2 linked regions of the Alligator mississippiensis genome follow. The protein of the gene in region 2 interacts with the protein of the main gene of each other region in a pairwise test. Links are inferred from orthologs where the notes say so. Each region holds a gene or a part of one and is shown on either strand. Other genes may lie near its edges.

What was found.
Region 1: the proteins of RAPGEF4 (region 2) and SWAP70 interact in a two-hybrid assay, tested with the Homo sapiens proteins (2 studies listed by BioGRID and IntAct). The link is inferred for Alligator mississippiensis from reciprocal best matches to the Homo sapiens genes RAPGEF4 and SWAP70.

What each region holds. Positions count from the first base shown.
Region 1 is NC_081825.1:198,048,496-198,059,488, reverse strand, and holds the start of SWAP70 (switch-associated protein 70), read right to left. Parts: upstream 5,478-10,993; 5' UTR 5,410-5,477; coding exon 5,311-5,409; intron 1-5,310.
Region 2 is NC_081827.1:211,586,327-211,597,146, forward strand, and holds the start of RAPGEF4 (rap guanine nucleotide exchange factor 4), read right to left. Parts: upstream 5,154-10,820; 5' UTR 5,119-5,153; coding exon 5,054-5,118; intron 1-5,053.

The DNA.
Region 1 (10,993 bases), on a different chromosome or scaffold from region 2:
TAACTTCCTCCTTCCTGAGTGGGCTGTCTCTCTCCAACCACACCATCCTTGTTTCAATCACACCATCCTTCCACCACACACTCACTTTGATTACCCACTTTTATTATTATTATTTAGATTTATATTCCACCCTACCCAGAAGGGCTCAGAGCAGCTTGCAGTAACAAACATCCCACAAGATAAAAACAAAAAAACCCCAGCACACTCCCCAGTGGACACCCTAAAACTTTAAAACTCCATCCTACTCCACCCACTCCCTCTTCCCAGTCTATTACCCCAGGCAGCAAACCCTTGGGCCCATCTTAACTGTGTTCTTGTATCTTCTCACCACGTGCACTGAACTACTGCTCCATACTTGATACCTATCTTGTTTCTGCCCTGCCTATTGTATTAATCCTGTATCGCCCAGCAGATTTCCATCAGAACACTGGCTTACACTTTCAAAGGCAGCTATGACCTTGGTAGGTTCATTTTTGGCAGTTAACTTGGCAGACCAAAAATAGGCCTGATTTTCCAAAATCATTGGTCACACACATTCCAACAAGTCACCTTTTTTAAAAGTAACTTGAACTGGACACCCAAAAACACTTTTCAAAATCTAGACTAGGGGCTGTCAACCTATGGTCTACAGGCCAGATGTGGCCCACAGTGCCATTTGATCCAAGCCAAGGATAATGGAGCTTTCTCCACACGGGTGCAGAAAGCAGCAGCAGCTGAGTTTTAGTGCCTGCTCAACTCTGACCTGAGTTATAGCCCACAACCTATGAAGGTTGTACACAGCACATGAAGTGTGCTGACTGCTGATCTAGACCACTGACAGAAAAAGAGAGAGAGAGAGAGAGAGAACATGATAAGAAATAGTTACAAAAAAAATATCAAGAAATGGTTATGTGAATATAGTTTGTAAATATAGTTCAACTTATGTAACTTCTCAGGGCACATCTATGCCACACCAGGGAAGTGTCACCGAGGCATGCCTCACTTACTCCTCGACTGCATGCTGAAAAAAAGTCTCATAGGTCATTACAGTGGTGCTAAGCCTGCCTTCCCCTCCCCCAAAAAGCAGTTACTGTACATGACATTTTTGGCATTTCATACATGTGAAGATGGACTGTGGAGGCAGGCATGTTTTCATGGTGGTGCTCTCTAGCATGGAGCAACACAGTTTAGGGATGCTGTTCAAATTCAATCCCATTGCTACACTACCAGAATAGCACTTAATACTACAAGCAAACTTAGCAAAGTCCAACAGGAAGCACTGGGAGTACTTTCCAAAATTACCAACTGACAACATAAAACATTTTAATTCTAAAAAAATTCACATATTTAGACACTACAGTGTGCAAAAAAGATTAGATCAGATGTAAAGATAGCAATACAAGTGCCTGCCTGTAGCTCCTACTACAACCACCTTAGAAAACTGAAGCCATAATTACATCCACAAAAGTTATAGTGGTTTTGCTGTATTGGCATGTGAAAGAGCATGGGCAATATGAACAAAACAATGATGTTGTTTATATTTAGCATGCATAACTTAAGAACAAGAAGCAGCGTAAGAGCTTAATTTTTTTGCTGATTTGGAGAAAAATTAGTTATTGGTGCAATGGCAAAATACTGATTAAAAAAAAAAATCAGTGTGTGTTGAAAGAGAAAATTTTAAACTACACTGGAGTACTGATTTTGCTTTAGTAACACCAATATTTTCACTTAAAAGACTCACCAATAGGAGTAAAGAACTACATCTTCTCTGTTCACTCCTAGGCTCTTTACTAGTAAATTGAGAGACAACAGAACTAAATTGTTAGCTGATAAGGGACGAGGGAGATTTCATACAAGTAACTGCCTCATGAATCACATGAGCTTGGCTCCTCTCCAGACAATACAGTAGGGGAATGAAAGGACCAGCCAACTTGTTTCCATTACAGTACTTTCTACTTCAGTTACATTCAGTTACTGTCAACATAAGAGATACACACCTCTACTGCATATGCCCATTTTTATTCCATATTAAAATGTCACTTCTGGAAGGCAAACACAATAACTGGGAAGATAAATTAGAATGCCTTTTTTTCAGAAATAGTGCTGTACTGCATTTGCAATAAAATTAATGGATCAGCATTGTACCCTATTGTCCAAAAAAGCTTTTGTTTCCTGCACAAATACCGGAACATTTCACTGCTGAACACAATATTAATAGGAGGGCATTATACAGGCATGCACAACTAGAGAACCATCCCCAATTAGTTTACACTTAAAAGAAGGAAAGTTTATATGTAGTTGATTTTCCTTCCTTTTGTGAATGGTAGGCTTGCAAGTAGTAAATATTTACATCTTGTTCTTAGAAAACAGAGTTATTTCACCAGACTTCTACACCACTTTTTGGCAGCAGAATCTTGTCAACATTAAACATATTTCCTCCTAATTCTTCAAATATCTACCAATCAATCAATTTTTCAGCATACCCACTGCCATGTTACCTGGACACTGTGTCCTACAATATAACACTAGAAAAAAATTATAAGTCTAGTAGCACTAAAAAAATAGTATCATTATAATAAAATGTCTTCCCTGTACAATCTACTACCCCTAGATTAGACAGGAACGATTTTTAGTTATCCAGAGTACATGGAGCACACTCCTCACTTTTCCAATCCGGAACACTAATCTCATAGGGCCAGTATATGAACTCCTTATTTTCACTGGTTAATGACCTCTCAAACTGGCTGTTAATCTGATTTTATTTTCATGAGTAAATGCTAAAACTAAGGCTCTCCAATTTGAACATGAGATCATAGGGTAATGACCCTGAAATATTAATTTCTGAGCAGAAAGCCAGTACCTTCAATTATGTTGCTTGGTGCACTGCAAAGACTAAAGCTAATTTTTTTATTCCAGAAGTATTACAAATACCGAAAAGTTTTAAGAGAATGTTCTGTAAGTAATAGAGCAGATAATTATATTTAACATAAGCAGTACCCAACATGCTTACTTTATGGAAAACTGTCAAAGAGGACAAAACCATTTCCTTTATGCTCTCCTACACTCAAGACAGAATAATTAGAGTAAAGGGGAACAGCTACTGCAAAACATAACTAGAGGAGGGAGACAGCATACACTGTAATGAGGCAATACAATTGCAACATCTAAGGCATCTCTGAGCTTGACCCAACCCAGGGAAGAGCAGCAACAAAGATCCAGTTTCATGGGTTTTAGAGTAAGCCATACAAGCTCATCTGTGACCTTGCATCTTAGGGAGGCTGGCTCACACCCAGAGCCTAGACCACTGTTTTCATTACATGTATTACTTCAGTTGGCTAGATCAAAGCTTTGGCATGCCTCTAAGAGCTACAACCACCCCTGGAGATTGCAGTGCAGATGAGAACACAGCTCTGGACATGCATATCAAGACAGGATAGAGCAAAGACTAGTGCCACATCAAGAAAACAGGAGTCCTCCAGAAGTCATGCTAGACCTAAAAAATTAGAATATTTGTCTCTACAACCAAGTTAATTTAGCCCCAGGTTTCCCACTGTAGTACTCTTATTGACCCTGCTGCAGAACAGAGAGAGTCTAGTGTTTCCTGGAGGAACTATGGAGGCTAGAGCTGGCCTAGAGCTTATCTCCATTACCCTGTCAACTTGAGCTGTAACTCAAGCAGTTCTGCCACATTCTGCCTCCTGTCTAACACAAAAACTCTCACTTGAAGTTAAACTGGGCCTTCCCAAGAGCTGCTGTGAAGGGTAAAGAGGTGTTGGTTCAATCTTTAAGTTGTGCTGATGCTATAGCAGCACAGTAGGAAGGCAGTGATTCCATTTCCTAGAGGCAAGGATTTTTTTTTAAAGTGACACCTTTTATTGAACCAGCTGCTTAATTGGGAGACCTTAGATACACATTTCCTGGACCATCACAGCTACAACACTCCACATGCGCTATGAATCCAATTAAGTTGTGTGGCACTGAATGCAGTCAGTCAGGAAGCCATTAGCCAAGCCTTCTTCCCGCTACAGGTTAATCCTCATCCTGCCCACAAGCCTTCAACACAATCATCTACAGCTCCAGTTATCAACAGGTGGACTGTTCCTATTCAGGATATTCATATAGCCCAATACTTCCCACACTTTTTTGTCAGCCTGACCCCATTTATGGTCCCATTTCCTCAGCATAGCCCCCCACCCCCGCAACCCCATCCATTGATATTGCAACCCAATCTGAGGTCACACCCGCAGTTTAGGAACCGCTGATCTAGCCCAACTCCTCCTCCTCTTCTCCAGCCTGCAAAGCCTGGCTGGGATCAGGTACAGTGAGCTAGCTGCCTGAGCTCTTTGAGGAGCACAAGCAACAATTGCTGTATTTGGGGTCAGGAAGGAATTTCACCCCAGGGTCAGACTGGAATAGGGGGGTTTGCCTTCCTCTATAGCAGGGGTGCAGCCCTCTGCCCGGGACCTCTTGAGTGTATACTGACAACGTTTTATAGAAGCAGGACGTTGGCTGCCCTGGGTCCCCTGCTTGACCGACGGCAGGGTAGGGTGGGTCGGGTTGAGAGTTTAAGATTATGATTTGTACGGGACGGTTTGAACAGAGTTGATCCTGCCTCAGGCCAGGGCTCACACTGGATGCCCTCTGGAGGTCCCCACTAGCCCTACTTCCCCAACAGGCAGGCAAGGTTCTTTGGGGAGAGGTGACATCTTTCCCCACACTCAAACTCAAGTATTTGAGTTGGCCCAATAAAAGATACCACAGCTCCCCAAAGAGCCTCGCCTGCCTATGTCCTTAGACCAGGGGTAGGCAACCCCTAGCACGCATGCCAGAGCATGGCGCACAAAGGCGTTTTGCTTGGAGCTTTCCCCTCGGGCCCTGCCACAACGAGGATCAGGCCCCTCACGGGGGTCGGACCTGATGATCTGTTTAGGTCCCTTCCGACCCCAAGTACCGTGATGGCTCCCCTCCGGTACTCCCCGGCACGCCAACCTCTTGCAGGTCAAGTTTGTGGGTGTTTCTGGCACCCTGACCAAAAACACTGACAACCCCTGCCTTAGACCAGGGCGGCTACAACCGGCCACCCTACTTCTCCTCTGACTAAGGGCTTCGGAGCCCGGGGAAGAAGGCGCAGCACGGCTGGCGCCTCTCCACCACTTCTCCTGCGGGACGTGCGGGAGGGAGGGAGGAGCAGCGCGGCGGCCCCGGGCAGCTCCAGGCCTGCAGGCGGCCGGAGCAGACAAATGCCAGGGGAGCGGGCGGGGATGTCGTGCCTGCCGGATCAGAGAGGGGTGGGAGCCGGGCTGCCCCACGGGTCGGGGCGGGACCGCTCACCTTGAGCTGGGACTTGGAGACCTTGCCGCTGCGGTCCAGGTCGAGCGCGGTGAAGGCGTGCCAGATGGCCTTGAGCAGCTCCTCCTTGAGCCCCACCATGGCTAGCTGCCTGCCGCCGCCAGCCAGCGCCGAGCTGGCTGCTGCGCCGGGGCGGGCGGGAGCTCCCGCGTCCCGCACCCACGTGGCGGGGCGGGGCTGCTCGGCCCGGCCCCGGCCCCGGCCCCGGCCCCGGCCCCCGTCCGGCTGTGGTGTCCCGGCAGGCAGGAGCGGGCAGGCACCCAGCCGTGAGGCTGGAAGGGACCCCGGGAGCGGCCCCCCGCGTCCCAGAGAAGAGCGTGCCAGCTATGGGCAGTGCTGCAGACAAAGGAGATGTCAGCAGAGAGCAGTCAGGACTAACGCCAAGGTTGGAGCTAGCTGAGGCAAACAGGGAAGAATTGCCCAATGAGTGAAGTTGCATCTTTTCTTCAAAGGTCATTGTATCATTTCTGTTTAAGTCATTGTTCATTATATTGCTCCATCGGTTGCATTCAAAACAGCCCCTTTGTGCTTCTGTAGGGTTGTTGGGACCCCTGCTCGTGGCCACGGCCAATATTTGCACAATGGGCCACTTTCTGTGCTGCAAATCGATATACACTATAAAGCATTAGTTGAGGAAAGCATTCACACAGAGGTAACGCATCAGTAAAGCTTTTGCATGGAGGCAAACAACAGCCACCACGTTGGGCATTTCGGAGGATCTGAAGTCATAAACTGAGATGTGAGCTGTAAACCAGGGGGTCACCCACAACTAAAGTGCCACTACTTGTGGGAGAAACTGATACCGAACCTGCTCCCAGTTAAGTCACTGGAAAGCTCCCACACACTGCAATTACTGCTAAACACCATCCCAGATGAGCAGCTCAAATAAAGTTTCCTAAAATATGTATATTAAATTAACTCAGGAGAGAAAAAAAGGAAAAAAATAAGACCTATTGATAGCTGTGGGAGTAGATGCCGCTCCAAATCTCCTGGGGGCACTCAGTGTGCCCAGTAAGATGAACCCTTTGTGTGTTAAAAAGAATATTGTTTTGACTAGATAATGCAAAATGAGAGCTGCATGATACAGTGGGACAAAAAGAGATCATTATACACTTTGTATCAATCTGATATCAAAGACTTCGCACTAAATATGAATGTACCAGATCTTGAACTATTGACATCAACAGCAGCTAGAAAACTGACTTCACTGAGCATAGGATCAAACCCCATATTGTTAAAAGATAAGCATGTACATAAATCTGTGCAGTGTCAGGGTCATTGCCCCTGGATTTGTCTAATCCAACTGACCAAATCCATCCCTGCTGTGACTCAACACCTCAACAAACTTTTGGTTGATCTTTTACATCTCATAGTTGAAATCATTACACCTTATCACACAATCCTCTTCCTTAAACTGTAAGCTCCCTATAAGCATGGCATCATAAAGTGTCAGAGACACATAAGTAATAAAGAATAATAGTGATCATGGACAATACCACAGTGTTATATGAGCAAATGCTAAGGTTTGCTTTTAAAACCCCATTGTACTGAAGACACTGACCCCATGTCTTTTAAAACAACTGGGTATGACTGCACAGGTGGCACCACAAAGCTCTGCAATCTGCCACCGCACGAGGAGTAGACGGTAGGGCTGTATGAAGCTTCGGTCCCTGATTTCATTCAGCAGAGATTTGGCCCAGTTCAGTCCGATTCGATGGCCAAATCTCCAAATCCGAATAGAATCAGAGAACCCTTTAATCTCTCCAAATCGAATCGGAATCCTCCAAATCGATTCGGAGAGATTCGGAAAGATTTGGAGATTCAGGTATAGACACAGCTTTAAATGTTTTTTCTACATACCTCTAGGTAGCAGGGGCTCATGAATGCTGCAGTGCTGGGATGGATGGAGCATCCCACAGGAGTGTGGGGGGCTCCCCAGCGTGCTCAGCAGCAGACACAGAAGTGGACCAGAAGCACTTCCAGTCCACTTCTGGGTCCACTGGGGAGAGTGCTTGGGAGCCCTCCCTGGCCCCCCATGGCTCAGTGACTGGTGCTTCCTGGGACTGGGGGGGGGCACCCAGGGTCCCCCCGTAGCCAATCACTGAGCCAGGGGGGTGCAGGGGGGCCCCCTGTGCACTCCCCGGCATACCCGGAAGTGGACCAGAAGTACTTCCAGTACACTTCTGGGTTCACTGCTGAGCACGTTGAGCGCCCCCCTGCATTCCTGCGGGACGCTCCATCTGCCCCAACATCGCAGCAATTACGAGCCATGCCTGCTACCTCAAGGTATGTAGAAAAAAAACTTTTAAAGCTGTGTCTATGTCTGCATCGCTGATTCTCCGAATCAGCATCGAATCTTCAGATTCGGATTTGGCCTAATTGAATCGGGGACAGTGATCTGAATCAACGAATCAAATAGTCCCTGATTTGGGCTGAATCCAAATCCAAATCTAATAGGGCCCACTTCGCACACCCCTAGTAGACAGATGATAACACAGAGTATCACATGCAAAATTGTGTATACCCCCACCATTTGTCTAGACACCAGAGGAAGTCTGTCTGTTTTTTTGACAACACTTGTATAATTATCATGCCAATAAAGTATAACTGAATTTTAAGTTACAAAGCTAGAGACATAAAAGTTGTATGACATCAGTGTGCCCACCCCCTTCCTGTGCAGATGTGTGAAAGTTGAGATGTATATCAAATATCAAACAAGAAATGCTCTTGGTTTTTGATGAAAAAAAAGTATCTAAAATATTGGTGAAGTGTACATGCAATAAAGATCTAAGCTGTGTCCAGTCTGAGATAGAGATGTCATCATTGATATAGAATCATAGAAAATTAGGGTTGGAAGGGACCTCAGGAAGTCATCTAGTCCAACCCCCTGCTCAAAGCAGGGTGATCCTCAAATACATCATTCCAGCCAGGACTTTGTCAAGCCAGGCCTTAAAAACCTCCAGAAATGGAAATTCCACCTTCTCTAGGTAACTCATTCCAGTGCTTTACTACTCTCCTAGTGAGAAAGTTTTTCCTAATATCCAACTTAAACTTCCCTTGCTGCAACTTGAGCTCATTGCTTCTTGTTCTGTTATCTGCCACCACAGAGAACAGTCCAGCTCCATCCTCTTTGGAACCCCTTTCAGGTAATGTAGATAAGTTGAGATGACCAAACAGACAAGTTCTATGTTGTCATTATTTTCTCTGGGTAATATTAAGACTTCTAATCTCAGGGAAGTTAATGGTAACATTTCCATTGTCTTTCATGGAACAAAAAATTGTCTTTTTTCTTCCTGTAATTTTTTTAATACTGTTTAGCAACAGAAAGCTCCAGAAGCTGAGCTGTCATCATGGTAAAATATATATTCCTGTTTGGTTTGCTGATTATTTCAGATTGTTCATCAAGGCAGTCTTTCCAGATTCAGTTCACACAAAAGAATTGTATAGCGGAAAAATTAAAATGTGCATTGTCCCATCTGATCTGCACCAAACACACACAAAGTCAGATCTTGATTTTGCCTTTCAGCACAGATTAAAGTAATGCTGCCAACAGCGATATTAGCATCTGCATCATGAGTACGCATCCTTTTTGGAAGGAAGAGTTACAAACGTGATCTTCAGCTCTGAGAAGCTATCTTTGGTTAGGTGACTGCGCTGGGATTAAGCAGGCCTATGTTAATTTTCTACAATCTGCTTAACTTCCTTCTGCAAGTTACTTAGTACTTTTGTGCCCCAGTTTTCCTTTTGGAAAAATGGCCATAATAGTATTTACAATGCGGTCATCTTGTCTATTTGAATTATGTATTCTTTGGGGCACCAGCTTTTACTGTGGGAGTGGGAAGAGTGGAAAATTTAGGTTCTAGGCATCCGCACTCAGCAGGTTTAAACATCAGAATACAGAATTCTAAAAAATTAGGATTGGAAGGGACTTCAGGAGGTCATCGAGTCCAACCCCTTGCATATATACAAGTCCCAGGCCTGCAAGTCCAAGAGTTCAGATGCTCTCTATATCCAGGCTGGCATCCTACATGCAAGTCCCAGACCCAGAATCCTGGGAGTTCAGATGCATCCAGGGGACAATTGCTGTCTGCAGTACTCCTACTCTTTCTACTTACGCCAACTTGATGCTAAAACTGAGGGCCAGTACACTGCAGACCTCTGCACAGTTTAAGATGAGGGCTGTCCCTTTAGTCACTTTTGTATGATTTGTTGTTGACAACATTTAAATGCGTACAAACTTCACAAATTTGGAAGGGAGGGCCAGGAGGACACGAAATCTGATCCACTTGCCCTATTCAACTGCACGCTGTAACCTCAAACCGTATAACCCAAGCCCACAAACAGTGAAAACAGGCATGTGTAGCCCCTCAAGCCTGCATACTAACAAGGATACAGAATCATAAAGAAACAGGCCTGGAAGAGACTTCCAGAGGTCACCTAGTCCAACCCCCTGCCTGAGGCAGGATCATCCCTAACCTAACCATCCCATACAAACCAAAATCCAAATGCTACATAAGAATACCTTCAGCCCTGACAATACAGACCTAATGCTCTTACCTGCCACAGGTACAGCAGGGGACCATGGCAGCCAATGTCCTGCTTCTATGAAAGGTTGTCAATATATGCTCAAGAGATCCCAGGTATAGGGCCACAGCCCCCACTACAGCACCCGCTCTTAAGCACCTTTTTCACAAGTTGAACCTGCCTAGCTCCTTCAGCTCCTATATATGGTGAGAGGTATATATAGAGATATCTCTCACCATAAATGTTAGTATATCATCAGAAAATGTGTTACTGCATAGTTTGATTTATACAAATTCAATTTAATTTGAATTTTCAATTTAAAGTCTGAGGGTGCACACTCAAATATTTAGAGGTGAAAAATTGACAGGCAAAATTGAAGGCTGTTTGAAAAAATGTCATAAATCTTTAAAGTGCCCGGGGCAAAAATGATTAGCAACAACAGAAGTGATTAAGCATCTCATGAGCTGCAATCTGCTCAAATAAGGCTTCAGATTTAGTATATGCCATGAATTTTATTTGTAGGATCGATGGCACAATAAACGTGATTGTAACTTCCAAGAAATGCAGAAGTACCTTGTACAAAGTCTGAGCTTTTTAAAAAAAAAATCTGTGTTGATTCTGATAACATTTGCTCATGGTGGTTAGAAATGGGAATTGGGAGTAGAGGGAGGGAAAATTGGCTCAGCATCTGAGAGTGACTCAGACTTTCAGGAGGAAGCTATGACTAGATCCTGCTGAGCTCAGCCATAGGAGGTCACAATTACTTTTCTTTTTTTTTTCCTTTAGAAGCTTAATTACTCTTTGTTTAACCAAATAATAAATATTTGTCAGGCAGCTCCCAACCGGAAGACACACTATACATTTAAAAATGTCACTCAGTGTATTTATTGGCATTGGCTGCTTAGATTGCAATCAGGGAAAGAATTCAGACACACTAATACATTCAGAGTGCCAGACCATTATCACCCAAAATAAACTTTTTCATTCTTTGACTACTTCAGTTCTGCTTTGACCTCTTCCACAACAGACTAAAAAAGAAGCACAGAAAGCATGAAGACAATGTAGCTGACAGCACTGAGTTCATGTGTACTAAAAATCATTTTACATTTTTCAATTATTACCTATCATTTCAGATAAATGT
Region 2 (10,820 bases):
GTTTTGTTTTTTTTTAACTGAAAATTGGGGATTTTGTGTGTGCATGTGCGATGTTTCATTTTAATTAGTGGTGGTTCACTTAGTGGTGTTTCACTTTAATCACAGAAAAATGTGCATTTAGGGTTACTTTTTTTAAACTGAAAATTGGGGATTTTTTTAAATCAGAGAAAACCAGGATCCATGGTGACAAGAGAAAGCCATAGAGATGGGTTGTTAGTTATTAGGTTGGATGCTAACTAGCCTGAAGGGGTGAATTATGGTCAGAGAAGCTAACAACTGGATCATTCAAGGATCTGATAACCCCAAGGTAAAGCAAGGCTGGAAAGGGAGAGTAGATAACCTGATGGACAGACCTTTTCCTTCTTGACAGACTAGTCTGACAATGAAGACTTGAGCTCACACCTCTTGGAGGTCAACTGTAAAAAGGAAACCCAAACATTTAGGAGAGGAGTAAGCCTCTTCATGCCTAAAAATACTAAGTTAAATATTTCCATGTTCCCTCAATAGATTTATTGTAAATATAAAACAAAACCAAAAATTTAAAAATATATAGAAACCAGTGGATACTTCCTTAGTCTAATATAAAATGTTACAACAAGCCTGGTAACCACACTATTGCCTAAATAAGAGCTAATTACATTCTTTCTTTCTTGAAGTAATGATATATTGTACAAGATGGAAATCTGGGAGGCAGATAATGCTTCACTTACTACCTTCTTTCTATCATCATGGTTCCCCCTTTCAAAATCCTACTTCTTAACCCAAACTTACCTGCACAACCAGAAAAAACTCCAGCTTGTATCTACCATCAAAAGTATAAATCGCTGTTTGAGTCTTAAATATATCAATGAGCTAAAAAAAAAATGTGACCTGCAGTCTTGTCTAAAATCTAATTGACATCAATGGAAACTTTTTTTGATTAAGAATTGCAAGATCATTGTCCCATGTGCATAACATTATTCTTGTTAGGCCTAGATAATGGAAAACTATGGTCTATCAGGGAAATAAAAACATAAAAGTAACTATGTACAATATGCCCTCAATCTACCCATTCATATTTAAATTATTCATAAACAGCTTAGCAAAGATCATAACATTCTTGGCACACCAGGATAGCAAAGTTACATGCTTTGCTCTGTGATCTGCTCTTCTAGTCAGCTAAGGCACTGCAGGTTATGTTTAATACAGAGGAAAGCACAGAAATATAATGGATAGAGTTGAAATCTTTGGTTTATCTGATTGTTGTGAACATTGCACACCATTTAAAAAAGCTGATCTCTGAATCAAATTAAAAACCTTAGTTGAATACAAAGCTATACTATGGTTTTATGAAATGACAGATTTCTGTAAAAGATGCTTAGTCTGTCATAAGCCCTGACCATATATTTATTAAAACAAAACCACTAAGGCCTTAAAATTATAAATATAGACATCTCTTCCACAGATACACATTGCTGAAAATAAAACATAAGGAATAAGATTATGGATTTATTATTATTAATATTATGGTATTATTCCTAGGCTGAATACACACACTTGAACAAACTAACAACCTTCCACTCATGCATATGCTAGTAAGATCAGAGACCACTCAAGCCTAGTGGCCCATTGAACTAGTGTGTTTATGGCACAGCAGTTTCTGTGGCCAGAAGCACACAAGTGAGTCATTCAGCCCCCTTTGACTCCCCTTTCTGAATAAGCCGCTTAAGGCTGAGTCTACTGATGGCAACCTTTGGCACCAGCACAAAACAAGGCTCTAACTCACAGTTCTTGAGCTGTATCAAGCCAACATAAGAGTTCTGCTATTATCTCCCTTTATGCAAACAAGGTAGAAAAACATTAAGAGATTAGGCTTGCTTCTACTCGCATTAATTTCACCGGTGAGGAGAGATGAGAGGGATCAATAGAAAAATGACTTAATTTTCTGACATAGCAAGGATGTATGTTGTTTACCTGTTGTTCTCTGCTAGAATGTTGAACAGTTCTTGACACAGTGGGATTTTAGGACCTTTGTTTATCTTTCTGTGTCACATGCTTGTCCCATCTTTATTACTTTAGATATATAATTGTATTCCACATGTTTCATTTCTATGTGCATATTTTTGGCTTCTGTGGTCAGTAACTTCATTAAGACTGCGTATTGTAACATTAGCGCACACAACTGCACAAAGTAATACAATATTTTGGTGTTCTCTGTTGTAAATATTCTCTCATTTTAGATTTCTAATGGTTCTAGCTGCTAGATGCCTTGGGAAAGAAACTGAAGATCTCAGAATCATATCTTAAAGTTATTTTATTTGATATGTTTTGCTTATCTTGATTTAAAATTCAAATCTGTCTTTTTTATCTTAAACAAGATAAGCCAAATTATATCTAGTTTAAATTACTTTGGCTCCTTACATAGGACAAATCAGTTGTAGAATTGTGCTATATTCATTAAAAAGACATTCTGCTGTGTATTTTATGCTTTAATAAAACCTAGAAAAGACACTTAACATGATTTAAGTAGTTCATGATATAATGTGTGTAACCTTTCTATTTCAGCTTTGTTTGTATTTCTTTCTTGTAATAATTTCTAGTATTTACAGCTACTAGATATGAAGTCACAGTCTGCCTTCTATTGGTCTGGGAAATCAGGGAAGCTGTTTTCAACCAGGAGCCCTGTAGGGTACTAGGCCTATACTGGATTGAGTGCCCCACTAGCCAACTGAAGCCAACACTCCTGAAGGAGACAAGGTTGGAGTTACATTACAACACTGGTCCCCAAAAGACTGGCTAGCACCTGCATTGGTAAAAGGGACAAGAAGAAGCTCTTTTGTGTCTATGCAAAAGGCCAAATACAATACCCCCAACATGGCACCAACTGTCAAAAGCTTACACTAATGACATTTACCAGGCTGTCTTACCTTGAAGTAAAGTGCATTATCTCCCAGATCTCTTTAATGTTTAAAGCATGCAGCACATACAGATATTTACAGTTTAATTCAGTGGTTCCTAAACTGTTTCTAGTTGCTTCCAGTTGTGAGCCACACTTCTGTAAGACTCACACACATAAGCAATTACATTTCTGACAGGCATGTAACTGCCCCTAGTTTAAGCACTGCTGACCTTGTTCTTTGTTAAGAATCTTTGTTTTAGAAATACAAATGCCCTATGAATTCAGTATTAAGATTAAAATTACAATGATTTTATTCTTTAATTGATTAAGTATGAAATATGATAAATAGTAAACAATGTATGCAGTGTTACACAACTACCATGAAGCCAGAGACACCATGCTGCTGCTGACAGAATGATATAGGTTTTATTCTTTTCCCACTAACACCCAGGATAAAACATCCTAAAGTGTTTTCTTGTTTTAAACAACCACTTCCTTACTATCTGCATTTTTAAGTTAACATATCACCTTTTAATCAGTGTTAATAAGCTATAATTACTAGCACTGTGTAGTGTTTACTGCTAAACCTACAATCTGATCCAACAGAAAATTTTCCTGTCAGTGTTTTGGAACAACTGCCATCCCTGATGCACATAGCGCACACTTTAGAGTTGGCAAAGTAAACTTGTGACCAGCATTTTGGAATTTTTTTTTTTTGGGGGGGGGGGGGGGAGTAAGGAAAGCACAGTGTGTCAAGAACCGTGTTTTTTTCCAACCTGGTGGCTGGGGTGACTGGATGGGGGATCTGGGTACAGACTGGGGCACAGGCTCAGGGCTGTCTGGGGAGCAGCTCTGCAGAAAAGGACATGGGAGCTACAATGGACAGCAAACTGAATATGAGCCAACAGTGTGGCCTTGTTGCCAAGGAAGCTAACGGCATACTGGGCTGCATTAGTAGGAGTGTTGCCAACAGATTGAGGGAAGTGATTATTCCCTCCTATTTGGCACTGGTGAGGCCACATCTGGAGTACTGTGTTCAGTTTTGGGCCCCCCACTACAGAAAGGATGTGGACAGATTGGAGAGAGTCCAGCAGATGTCAATGGCAGTGGTTACAGGGCTGAGGGACATGACTTATGTATGAGGAAAGACTGAGGGGACTGGGCTTATTTAGCCTAGAGAAGAGGCGATGGAGAGGGGCTACTCAATAGCAGCCTTCAACTACCTGAAGTGGGGTTCAAAAGATGATGGAGCTGGACTGTTCTCAGTGGTGGCAGATGACAGAACATGGAGCAATGGTCTCAAGTTGCAGCAAGGGAAGTTTAGGTTAGATGTTAGAAAAAGCTTTCCCACAAAGAAGGTAGTCAAACGCTGGAGCAGGTTACCCAGAGAGGTTGTGGACTCTCCACCCTTGAAGGTGTTTAAGACCCAGCTAGACCAAGCCTTGGCTGGGATGAGATAGTTGAGGCTGGTCCTGCTTTGAGCAGGGGGTTGGACTAGATGTGACCTCCTGAGGTCCCTTCCATCCCAAACTTTCTGTGGTTCTCTCTTCTCCTCCCTCCCCTCACTTGGATGAAGACAGACAAGCATCCGCTGTGGGAGTGAGGGGAAGGGGCCCACGCTCAAGATTTCCACGAGGTTTCTTCTGGCAAATCCAAAATCTCCCGAGGAGACTGGGCCTGTGGACGCAGCAAACGGAAACCAGCCCCCCCCCCCGCCAGCGGCTGGATGCCGCCTGCAGCAAGGCAGGGCTCGCGGAGGCCCCGTGGGACCGCGCCACGCAGCGCTCCCAAGCCCGGCACTGGAGGGGGAGGCCCCTGTCTCTGGGGCTGTTCAGGCATTCCCCCCACACCCCCGTCTGCGCCAAGGGAGCATCCTAACCCCCCCCCCCCTCCCCCGGCCGGTCCCGTCGTCACGTGCCGCCCATTGCTCCTCCTGCAGATGCCCGCAGAGAGCCGGAGCCCCCCGCGCCTCCGCACGGCGCAGGGCAGCCCCCGGGCACAGGGACCCGCCTGCCCCCGCCGACACGTGCAGGATGGGGCCGGGACCCCGCCCGGCGGCACCGGCACCTCCATCCATCCATCCCTCCCGCCCGCGGCTGCGGGGCCCGGGCGGCGGCAGGCAGGGAGGAGCGGCGCTGCCCCCGTCCCCGCGCTTCGCGCCGCAGAGGCCGGTACCTCTTGTCCAGGCAGGCGATCCACTCGCCGGAGGACGACGGATGGGACCCGTGAGCAGCCACCATGTCTGCCTTCAGCCGGCTCGCTGCGTGCCCGGGCGGCGGCGGCGGCGGCGGCTCCTCTCCCCGCCTCCTCCCGCTCCTCCCAGCACCGAATGGGCTCGTCCAGGCCCCGCCGCCTCCGCCCGTGCCGTGGGCAGGGCCACCTGGCCGCGCTCCCCCTCCCCGGCCCCGCGCACCTGCCGCCCGGCGCCGCGCCCGCGCTGCAGTGGAGCCGCCGCCCCGCGGGCCCGGCGGGAGCCCGAGGCAGGGCAGGAAGGAGAGCCGCGGGGAGGGCAGCGGGGAGCGCCCCGCGCCCTCGGGGCTCCTCGCACGGAGCCCTAGGACTCTCCGGCCGAGGGGAGCCGGGCGTGCCCTGCCCCGCTGAGGGCCGGCGCCTTGGGCCGGCGTGGGCAGGGGCTGCGTGGAGCATGCGTGGGGGAGGGGGATGGCTCGACTAGAAGAAGTTCCTGCGTCTTTGAGTAACTCTCCAGGGTCCTAACCCAGCCCGCCGCCGAGGTAGGAGCCTAGCCACTGGCATGAGTTGCCTGCGGCAGGGAGAGCTCATTAAGCCAAGCGGGAGGAGGAAGCTGCCGGGAGCTGGGTCCTGACCAGGCAGACACTTTTCAGCCTGTGCCAGTGTGCGGCCTCCCGGGGCCCGTCAGCTGCAGCCACGCTGCCCCCACGGGAGGCAAGGTCAGTCTCACGTGGGTGTGGATCCACAGCAGGGAGCCCCTGGGCTCCCACTCGGGTGCTGCCGTGGGACGTACCCAGAAACCCCCAGGTTTGGGCGAGCTGACTGAGCGGGGGGTGCAGGCTAGAGCGCAGGCTTTTGGCAGCTGACAGCGCACTCACACTGCGGCGAGGACACAAGTTTAATTCACTCAGAGCCTGGTAGTTCTCGCTGCTTTCCCATCATTGGTCCTGGATTGCATAGGACCAATGCACTGCTACTGTGCAAAAGTCATCTGCTATCCGTTCATACTCACCAGTCATCTGCTATCCGTTCATACGGACCGATTCAATGTTTCAATGTCATGTTTACCTACGTGGCACTGACAAGGATGTAGGAACTCAGCTGCCAGCTGGCCAAATGGTGACATGGAGGTCCTGATAGACCTTGGCTGTGAGGCCAGGAAGACCCAAAAACCTGTGAAAATGCAGATTTCAGGTACACTTTTACAAAGACATTTGTAAAAAGCCAACAGAGAAAGGGATTCAACGGCAAGAACTCAGTAGGGAAGAAAATAGAAACCATTAACAAGCACAAAATGGAAGGCTAAGGACTGCAACTCCAAGTCTGGCAGTTCCTCAAGGATGTGCCCATTCTGTTGGAAAGCTGGACCAAGTGGTCAGCAGTGATGAAAATACTGATTCTCTTAGGCTAACCCAGGTAGTACTTATATTGGACTGGGGCCAGAAGGACTCCAGAGCAGAAGAGCATAATTAGTAACAGTTCTGCTCTTTCTCCCACATGAATGCAATCCCACAAATGCCAATTAAAAATAAATTAAAGCACTTCCTACTCTTGTCAAAATAAATTGGATTGATAACTCATTGATAAGCAGCTGATGAGCAGAGAAATGGGGAACACTGAATGCCAATGAGATAAAAGTTGCAATGTTTCCCTTGCTCTGTCCCAAAGTTAAAGAGAAGCAACTTCCCTTTTTGCCCTCTTACCAGGAAAATATTATGCTCTGGCATTGCATTTCAGGGCTATCTAGGTGAGGAAAAGGTGCCTAGCCATGATGGCACTGACTTTTAGTGAGCGTGTTGAGACCCCCCCCAGGGTAAAGAAAGGTCAGGAGCAATTTGCTGCAGGAGACACCATAGGACATTGCTGACAGGCTGGAATACAAATTCCATGATGGGACAGACAGAACCAAGCTGAAGCTGAGAGGATGCTGAAGAACCATGACCATGCCATGAAGAAGCAGTGCCAATGGTTGCAGCTTAGCAGCAGAACATGACAGCACAGTCCCCAGCCCCTGCCCTCATCTGCTCCAATATTCTCCTTTGGGTGATAACCCATAGACAAGTCTGGGTGGGGAATGAACCAGTCAATGCACTTTATGAATAGAAAATGTGTCTAGTTCCCACCAAACATGGCTAGAGCAAAGCTTGCTTATAATTCACAATTCCATTACATGGAATATTATTCTTCTTAATTTTATATTTTGGTTTGGTTATACCTTCTCTTTAGTATAAAGACGACTGTGATTTTTTTTAAGTTATTTTGTGTTTCAGTCTCTCAGTGTGACTGTTTGAAAAACAGGAGAGAATCAGGAAGTTCAAAATAAATATAAGTGAATAAAATATAAGGTTAGTAATCTATAATATGCATTCTACAGGTAAATTGATACACCACACTTGTTTTGTGCTCACATTATTCTACCTTATTTACATTATTCCACATTATTGTAATTCTTCCTCCAAAGGAATTATTTAGCTCTTATTGCCCTCACTGTCCTGGACACAACTCCAGTTATCAGAAATGAACTTTCTGGTTGCCTGTACCAGGCCTATAAACTAACATACACATCAGCCCATCACTAGCAAAAGGTTTCCCTTTCCCCTGGCATTGTATGATTGGGGTGTGCTGTGAGGAAAAGGGGACATAAACACACACATATTTTATATATAGCGTTTATTTCTGATTAATTCTATATGGTGCAAAACTACCCTGCCTTCTGCCTGACTTTAGATTAATATGGCTGACTACTTCTCTCTGCTCATTTTATATATATATAGGCACCCAAATAGTTTTTTTCAACAGCACCATCTTGCCTTCCTGTCAGCCAACTGCACATTTCACCACAACCCTGCAACTGCTCACTGTCCAATTACCTGTCCAAGGACTTTTCTTTTACCAGGTCCTCTCACATTTGAGTAAGACTTCCTGAACCAGCACGGTGAATAGACTATGTTCACTAAAATACGTGGGAATGGTCACCTCATTTATATCCAGATTACTGATGAGGGACACTGGCGGGAATATTTGAACACGTGGCGCATGGGCCAGGTCCCGGAGGACTGGAAAAGGGCCAATGTGGTGCCCATTTTCAAGAAGGGGAGGAAGGAGGACCCAGGCAACTATACAGTCTCACATCCATCCTTGGCAAAGTCTTTGAAAAAATTATCAAGGCTCACATTTGCGAGAGCCCAGCAGGAAAAATTATGCTGAGGGGAAACCAGCACGGGTTCGTAGCAGGTAGATCATGCCTGACTAATCTAGTGTCTTTTTATGACCAGGTTACAAAACACCTGGACGCAGGAGTAGGGGTTGACATCATATACTTAGACTTCAGGAAGGCCTTCAATACGGTATCCCACCCCATACTGGTGAACAAGTTAAGAGGCTGTGACTTGGATGACTACACAGTCCAGTGGGTGGTGAATTGGCTGGAGGGTCGCACCCAGAGAGTCGTAGTGGATGGGTCGGTATCGACCTGGAAGGGTGTGGGCAGTGGGGTCCCGCAGGGCTCGGTCCTTGGACCAATACTCTTCAATGTCTTCATCAGCGACTTGGATGAGGGAGTGAAGTGTACTCTGTCCAAGTCTGCGGATGACACTGTCATAACCCAATGATTTTTAGTGCCTCGGCACATTGGAATTTTCCCGCCACATGGAGCTTTCTTTGCATGGTGGATTTCTCAGCTGCAGAGAGAAAACCCCGGTGCAAAAGAGTTCCCGCCACACGTATGCAAATTTGTGTCCCACTATTGGTCAATTCTAAATTATTCCTACCTGGCAGCTAGCGATTGGTTTGCTAGCCGTATAAAAGGTTAGAGTAGTTTCCACCCAAGTTGGAGGACTCCACAACCATCTCATGGGGAACTCTAAGTGCACTGTGGAGCCTAGCAAACTCCGCGTGTGTCTTGGAGGAGGACTTAGGGACCTGATCAGACTCTAACCAGTCCCCGTCATCGTGGAAATATTGACGTACCCCCGTGTTGAGCGCTTGTGGAGTCGTACACCGATGACTCATCTCGGTTCGGTTCGAAGAGAGATCTCACCCCTGTGTGTTTGTGTGCAACTGTAATTCAAGCAAGTTTTCTTCCTGCACTGTGACCATTGGCAGTGTAAGTAAAGCTTTCTTTATACAACCAATACGCTTCCGTGCCTAACTCTATTCCATCGTGGAAAATACCCACCTGACAGTCCGGGCTACTGGCCATAGCCTTAGACCGCCCTCGGCTCCCACAGACACAAAAATGTGGGGAGAAGTACACACTCCAGAGGGCAGGGAACAACTACAAGCAGACCTGGACAGGTTGGACAAATGGGCAGAAAACAACGGAATGCAATTCAACAAGGAGAAATGCAAAGTGCTGCACCTAGGGAGGAGAAATGTCCAGCATACCTACTGCCTAGGGAATGACCTGCTTGGTGGAATGGAAGCAGAAAGGGATCCTGGAGTCCTAGTGGACTCCAAGATGAACATGAGTTGGCAGTGTGACGAAGCCATCAGAAAAGCTAATGGCACTTTATCGTGCATCAGCAGATGCATGACGAACAGATCCAAAGAGGTGATACTTCCCCTCTATCGGGTGCTGGTCAGACCGCAGTTGGAATACTGCGTTCAATTTTGGGCGCCACACTTCAAGAGGGATGCAGATAACCTGGAGAGGGTCCAGAGAAGGACCACTCGTATGGTTAAGGGCTTGCAGGCCAAGCCCTATGAGGAGAGACTGAGGCACCTGGACCTCTTCAGCCTCCGCAAGAGAAGGTTGAGAGGTGACCTTGTGGCTGCCTATAAGTTCATCACGGGGGCACAGAAGGGAATTGGTGAGGTTTTATTCACCAAGGCGCCCCCAGGGGTTACAAGAAATAATGGCCACAAGCTAGCAGAGAGCAGATTTAGATTGGACATTAGGAAGAACTTCTTCACAGTTAGAGTGGCCAAGGTCTGGAATGGGCTCCCAAGAGAGGTGGTGCTCTCCCCTACCCTGGGGATCTTCAAGGGGAGGTTAGATAGGCATCTAGCTGGGGTCATCTAGACCCAGCACTCTTTCCTGCCTATGCAGGGGGTCGGACTCGATGATCTATTGAGGTCCCTTCCGACCCTAGAATCAATGAATCTATGAATCTATGACATAGTGGTCTTCAACTTTTCACAGTAATGAGTACATTGCAGCCCCCCCAAATGGCTTGCTAACAATTAACTGATTAGGCACCATGATCTAAAGGGTTGGAATAACTTTGTGTTTTTTGGCATTCAAGAGCCAGAGTAAACTCCTCACCAAGGCTCCTGGAAAGTAAACTTCTTCAGCAAATGTTATGGAGCTATTGCTGGTAATCTTAAATCTGCCTAGTGATGTAGTCCCACCACTTCACGCTTGTGGTCTTGCTCCAGAAACACCAGTCAGCACAGGAGGGATCCACAGTTATTACAACTTGCATCAGTGATCTCCCTTCTTCCATGGGTATATGCAGCCTCAGCAAGTCACTGTTTCTGAAATAATAGTTGCACTAATACAAAATTTGGAATAAGTCATGATTCTGAGTCAGATCCATGAACCTTACTACCATGTCTTACCACCAGCTATGGACAGTAGTAGAGAAAATGCCAACCTGGAAGTAAGTTACTTTCCTGAGCCAGTGGGTTAATGAAAAAAACACCCCAAAAAACATGAGATGTGTCCCTACCTATCCTAATGTCTCAGCTGGATACATGCGATCACCCTGTGGATGCAGGAAAAAGTAGGACTTAAGTATGAATGCTGGAC